Linked DNA regions of Oryzias latipes. The main gene of each other region encodes a partner of the protein of the gene in region 2 in a complex. Links are inferred from orthologs where the notes say so. Each region holds a gene or a part of one and is shown on either strand. Other genes may lie near its edges.

Region 1 (4,229 bases), about 2.9 Mb from region 2:
GACGGCCTCGTGATTCCTAAGAAAAGAGGACGGACAGCCTTCATGCAAACACAGATCAAAGGTTTTCCAGCTGAAACTCAGACCTGTGGAGGTTCTAGTGGCCCGTGGCCGGCTTCATCTGATTTTGGTGACACACAGAACTCACAAAGCTGCAGAAAAATGTTTATTTACAAAAATCCCTGAAGAATCACAGAAACTTGTGTCAGCGGCACATATGCTAACAACTGTCCTGGTGTCCCTCTGGGCTCCAGAGAACCGCTCTTCTGTCCTCAGTACACCTTGGACCTGCACAAGAACATCGAGGGTCAAAGACTTCCCGGCTCTCAGAACCGGCCTGCGGGCTCAGGGTACCTGGAGAAGGAAGATAAGGCGATGAATCCCAGCAGGAACTCCAGGCCGTAGAAGCAGAGCAGGACGGCGCAGAGCAGGAACTCCAGCCGCAGAACGAAGGTCTGCAGCAGCAGGTAGTAGACGGCGAGCGCCGCACAAGAGACCAGGATGAAGAGCGACAGGCAGGAGGTCAGGGAGCGCTCACACAGGTTCCCCTTCCAGCCTGAATCGACACAGGGGGACAGCGTCAGCGCCTGCAGCCGGCCTTGAGAACCAGCACAGAGCCTGAGCGGCTGAACGCTTCGCCGCAGGTTTGAGTCTGATGTTTCCAGGCAGCAAACGTCTGCAGAGATGCTTTAACCCCTTCATGCCCACTGGTGCAAGGAAGAACCACTCCTCCTCAAACCGACTTTCATTTAGCCTCAACTTGAAAGCAAAAACACAACTGATCATTTTTTCATAGCTGGATATAAATTCTGGCGTGGGGGGGGGGGGGGGGGGTCATGTCACTTCCACAGACAGAACCCTGGAACCCAGGAGGAGAACCCTCCACCTCCGTCTGGGAGGCCGTCCAGGTGAAGAGTGAGAACGCTCTCTCCTCATTGGACCACCGCTCAGACGGGCGTGGAGAGGTTCTGCACCGAAGGTTCCGCTTCAACAGAACCTTCAGAGGCGGAGCTCCGAACACAACGATGAAGGTCACACATTCACACACGGAACCAAGCTTCTTCCTGCTTTGATCTCCAGCATCATCATCGTTTACACATCCCAGCATGCCTTTCATGCTCTGAAGTCCTTTTTAAATCTGAAAACCACATTCTTGGTCTTTCTGACACTTCCATGCTAGCATAGAACCGTGATTGTTCTGACGTTAGCTCATCCAGCACCAATGTCAGGCCCGTCTGCATCCTCTTCATCCTGCATGTTCCATCTTTGTTCTCCAGAACCTCTCAGCCGCACTTGCGGTTCTGGAGAAAGCAAAGCAGATGTTTGTGTTTGGCGTCACCGTAAAAGATGCGCAGAGCCTCCAGAGCGAGGAAGAGGAGCAGCAGGACCACATCCAGGACCAGATTGTCAGACGGGTACGGCAGCAGGATCCCTGCAGCGACACCAGCAGCAACCGTCAGACGCTCCTCCATGACGTCCAGCAGAGGAACAGAGGACAGGCTGGAGGTTCTACGACACCTTCGGCTTCATTCTCAGGTGAAGCCGTGGTGAACCTGCAGGGGGGCGGGGCCACACACCTTTGTAGATGAACATGAGGATCTCCGCCAGGTAGAAAGCGGCAAAGTACCAGCTGTTCAGGTAGAGCAGCACCTGCAGAGGCGTGGAGGACAGCTGAGGAGGCGTGGTCAAGGACAACTGCGGCTGGTGGACAGGCCCCGCCCCCTCTGACAGCAGAAGGATACGATTGGTCGGCTCCCTGCAGACGCGGTGAGACAAAAATGTTGTCAAACTGAGAGTGAAACTGAACGTGAGGCTTAAGAAGCGTTTAGGAGACGTGACGGTTGTTGGACCGGATTATCTTTAGCTTTAGACGGTGGTTTAAGAACGTTTCAGAGGTAAACACCGAGTGGGAATGTTTTTAGCCGCTAACCGGAAATCAACGGCGGACCGGAAGTGTTTCCGTCCGTCTCTGATAGCTGCAGAAAAATGACGGGGAAAGACGGCCTGCGGTTTTTGCGCCGTTCTTTCTGCGACGATGATAAGAAAACACTCACCAGGCGCCATGTTTGAGCCGCTGTGGTCGCTATGGAAACGGCTCTTCTTCCCTGGACAGCGTCAGGCGGGGCTCCGTGCTGCCCCCTGCTGGTCAGGATGAGCAAACAGAAGACACTAATATTTGAAACAATTTCACATTATTTTATTAATGGATGTTCTTCAGTTTCACCACTGAATCACTCTAAATACATAATTAGTCGATGTTACCTTTTATCATCAATGGTCTGAAATCACGTGACATGCGGGTTTCTGTTGCTGTTTCCTGTTGGACCCTCAGAGACCTCATTTAAAGAAAATAACTGTTCTTTCTGCGACATCAACATAGAAACACTTGATCATCTGTTTATTAAATGTATAAATACTAACAGGTTTTGGGAGGATTTCTTTTGGTGGTTCTCTTCAAATTTTCTTATTTCTATTTGGTTACAAAACACATTGTATTACACATTGTATTATTTGGAGTCGTTTCTGGTGATAACTTATTTAGTTTGGCATTTAATACTTTATTAATTTTTGGGAAATTTTTCATCTATAAAAGGCAGATTTTTACAAATCAAATCATTATTCAATACATTTCATAAAGAGATCTGTTTATATTTTAAATGCAATAAAACTGTCAATTTTCATTGAAGATCACATGTTAAATGACAATCCCTAGTTCTCTGAACTACGGTTCTAATGTTATTTATTTATTTGTCTTGTATCTTACTCTTTTTTTCTTTTGTTATGTCTTTCTATTGTAGTTACATGAATGTGTAATCCTTTGAAGTTGAATTAAAAAACCCACAGTGACTCCAGGAGGAGGAGGAACCTTCACAATCTGGTTCTGATGTCATCCGCTCTGCCCAGCACACAACTACAATACCCAGCTTGCCATCGCAGCGCTCTGATTGGTCGAAGGCGCGCCAGGGTTTACGTGGCACTGCTGCGGACGCGCAGACTCCGTCTGAGCTCGGTGGTTCCGGCTGGAAGACGGTTCGGTCCGGATCAGCATGCAGCCGTGCGTGTTGGCGCTCCTGCTGCTCGCGCTCTTCTGCAGCCGCGCGCCCGCGCTCTACTTCCACATCGGAGAGCTCGAGAAGAAATGTTTCATCGAGGAGATCCCGGACGAGACCATGATCATCGGTGAGCGGCTAAGCTAGCTGCCGCGCGGCTAACGCTCACAAAGTTCCGGTTCGCCGTCAAAAAGTTTCCCAACGCCGCCAGAAGTAGTTAGTGAACCGTTTGATGAACGGAGACGTTGGCGAACACCTCGTAGTAGAAGTTGGTGAGGATGTAGGATCGGTCTTTTACCGGGGAACGGAGGACGGTTTAAGCTAACTTCATCCTATCAGCACGCGGATAACAAACCAAACCGCCTGAAGAATCCAGCCCGTTCCCCGAACCTAGACCAGGAACCCAAGCGGTTCTCCTGGAGAATGGGCAGGCAGCTCCTCCAGGAGGAACCAGCAGGTGGAGGTCCGGACCAGAGTTGATGATGGTTCGTTCTGAAGGAGCTGTCTGGGACCGGTCGCTCCCTGAGGTTCCTGCAGAACCGGGAAAGCGGGTCCAACGGTCCTGACCAGCGCGTCCAAGGACCGGAAGTGCTGCGTTCAGCCGGATGTTGTCACTGACTGTGGGGCGCTTGTGTTTGTGTGCAGGAAACTACCGCACGCAGCTGTACGACAAGCAGAAGGAGGAGTACCTGCCGGCCAGCCCGGGTCTGGGCATGTTTGTGGAGGTCAAGGATCCTGACGAGAAGGTAAGCGCCGGAGGAGGTCCTCCTGACACGTTAGTGCCGTGATGCTCACTTTGAGGAAGGTCTCTTCGTTAGATGGTCTCTGTAACCACGGCAACCGCGTCCTGACCTCCGTAAACATCCAGAGGAGGACTTGGAGCTGCTGCTGTTAGTCTTCTGTGGAGGTTTTGGTGGAGTGGACTCTAAGCTCCTCCCTCGCCTGCAGGTGATCCTGTCTCGGCAGTACGGCTCGGAGGGACGCTTCACCTTCACGTCGCACACGCCCGGAGAGCACCAGATCTGCCTGCACTCCAACTCCTCCAAGTTCTCCCTGTTTGTGGGAGGAACGCTGGTGAGGAGGCGGTCGGCGTAAGCTCCGCCCCTTTACCTTCACACCCACGGCTTTAACCGCCGTCTGTTTGCCGCAGAGAGTTCACCTGGACATCCAGGTGGGCGAACA
Region 2 (2,304 bases):
TCAAAAACATGCTTCATAGATTATTTTGTGTCTCTAAATTGCCACTAAGTGTGCATGTGTGGCCCTGGTCAGTAGCTGGGATAGGCTCCAGCAACGCAGTGACCCTAAAAGGGATTCAGTGAATTCTGAAGATGGATGTATCTTTTGTGGGCCGACTTGTCTTAACTAGAAATATCTTTAATTAAATAAGTCATTTTATCTCAGTAAAATTTTTAACTTTTCATTTATTGTGTCTTATTTTTATAAAATAATGTCAGCTATGAACTCTATAGTTGCAGTTACTTAATCTTAAAAAAAAAACAAAGTGAAAAAGGAAAAGGCAGTTCTGTATTTATAATTAAATTCAAGTTTCAGTCTCATAACCACATGAGCTTCTGACACAAACGTTATTTTATTCATATATACTAATACTTTTAGGCTTGAAGCTCTGCTTGTGGTCAGTTTTAATGCAAACTCTGCTCTCGTATGATGATTAACTCGGGTTCATGTCAGCTTTTTCCTGAGCTCCCCCCCCCCCCCCCCCCCCCCCCAAAAGTGAGATTTCTGTGTCTCTGGAACTAAAAACTCCTAAAGATTTATAACTTGAACTTCTCCTTTCTGCCTTTTTTTTGGTTAAAAAACAAAAACAGGTTTAAATAAGACTTTTGATTGAAAAAAATAATTTATCAAATCTTATTTACATAAATTACACCACAAAGCCTGCAGGCGTCTGTTCAAACAAAGGGGAAAAAGAAGTTGAAGGGAAGTTTGGCGTCGATGGTGGGCGTGGCTCTGTAACCAGGAAGTGCGTCTGCAGAAACTGGAACGAAGGCCACAGAGCTTCTGACCGGCAGGCTGCCGCCGCCGCCGCTCAGCAGAGGCTGCGGAAGACGGAAAGCAGAGGGTTAGAGTTCATCCCACCTGGAGACGCAAACGTGTCGCTTTATGACAAGACGTTACATAAAAGTTGCAGGAGAGTTCGTTTGTGGGCAGAATTTCCTGTCTCTCATCTCCAGAATATGTTTGTTTTTTTGTTTCTAACAAATATCTCAACTCGATCTAAAACGGTTTGAGTCCACCGTAACAAAACCGCCGCAGTCTCAGTCAAAGACATTCAACAACCGTCCCAGACGGATGACAAACGCTTTGATTTGATTTCTGTCTGTTGAAATGATGAGTCTGATGGAGTAAGTGTGATAAAAGGTCAGGAAGTGATCATTTAGCATGAAGCTGTGAGAGCAGACGGCGTCTTTTAAGGCATCATTCTTCGTCCTGACGTTTGTGTCTGAGGAGGCGGAGCCTAGCCGCTTTTGTCTTTGGATAATCTAAATTTATTCCCAAACCTAAATGTTCTGTGTTTTCTAAGTCTAAAGTCTGAATTCTGAACCTGCGGCTCCTCAAGTCTCACCAAACTGCTGCTGTTGGTCTGAATGATCTCCCGGATGCTCACTATCTGGGCCTGGGGGTTCTCCAGGGATCCATATTTGGTCCATTCGATCTCTAGATGGAGTGAGAGCGGGAGGCTGCAGCTTTGGTCCTCCTGTGAGTCACAGTCACGGCGGAGACGAGTCAAACCGGAGTGTTTGTGGAGCGGAGACGCCCGGCAGAAGATGGGGTCACGGCGGTCTCACCACAGGACTGAAGCTGCTCTGGATGGAGACCCAGTCTAGCTGCTTGTTCAGCGGGGAGTTTCCAAAGGAAGCCACGTACTGCGGGTAGTTTGGTCCTCTGAGGACGTCCAGGAGCTGCTGAAGGACCAGCGAGCAGTTGGCTGCGTCATCCAGCCTGTGCAGATCAGAGAGGTCAGAGGGTCAGAGGTGACCTGAAGGCCACAGACGGCGTGCTGACGGGAGCGGGACGCGTTTGCCTCAGCGTGCAGCCGGACACGGCGTTCACACCGAAGAGGACCGGGGAGCGCCGGTGAGGACCACGCAGGCAGTCCTGCTCGGCGGAGCTGTGGAGCAGAGACAGAGCATCTCTGAGCTCCGTGCTTCTGCTGATCCCTGTGGAGAACGCGGTCAAGGCGCAGAACGGCAGACAGGCGTGAAGAAACCGTCTCTTCTTCTCTGTGGAAGGATATTCTGCGGTTTTCGTTCCAGACAGGAGAGGGCGTCCGACCACATAGCCGGGATTTCCGCTGAGACGAAGAGCCAGCTCGCCGCCGTCCTGCAAACGGCAGACTAACGTCACGGTCATGTGACCAGAGACCGTTGGCGAGTGAGGATGTGCTGCAGCACCTGGACAAATGTAGCCTGGAACTCCTGCTCCAGCAGCACCGAAGCTCCGCGGATGAACCCCAGCACCACGGAGACGGCAGCGTTCACC

Evidence for each region.
Region 1: tctn1 (region 2) and transmembrane protein 216 share a complex: the UniProt entries of both Homo sapiens proteins name them as parts of the tectonic-like complex. The link is inferred for Oryzias latipes from reciprocal best matches to the Homo sapiens genes TCTN1 and TMEM216.

The regions. Positions count from the first base shown.
Region 1 is NC_019868.2:30,553,160-30,557,388, forward strand, and holds transmembrane protein 216, read right to left. Parts: upstream 2,810-4,229; 5' UTR 2,260-2,809; exon of another isoform or gene 2,137-2,259; 5' UTR 2,062-2,136; coding exon 2,052-2,061; intron 1,754-2,051; coding exon 1,740-1,753; exon of another isoform or gene 1,669-1,739; coding exon 1,575-1,668; intron 1,551-1,574; exon of another isoform or gene 1,470-1,550; coding exon of another isoform or gene 1,430-1,469; coding exon 1,337-1,429; intron 554-1,336; coding exon 352-553; intron 286-351; coding exon 270-285; 3' UTR 150-269; downstream 1-149. Other genes in the region: transmembrane emp24 domain-containing protein 9, read left to right, coding at 3,045-3,177, 3,693-3,793, 3,996-4,121, 4,198-4,229. UniProt on the Homo sapiens protein: Part of the tectonic-like complex which is required for tissue-specific ciliogenesis and may regulate ciliary membrane composition.
Region 2 is NC_019868.2:27,631,713-27,634,016, reverse strand, and holds the end of tctn1 (tectonic-1), read right to left. Parts: coding exon 2,217-2,304; intron 2,146-2,216; coding exon 2,060-2,145; intron 1,985-2,059; coding exon 1,847-1,984; intron 1,765-1,846; coding exon 1,611-1,764; intron 1,520-1,610; coding exon 1,388-1,519; intron 861-1,387; coding exon 714-860; 3' UTR 507-713; downstream 1-506. UniProt on the Homo sapiens protein: Component of the tectonic-like complex, a complex localized at the transition zone of primary cilia and acting as a barrier that prevents diffusion of transmembrane proteins between the cilia and plasma membranes.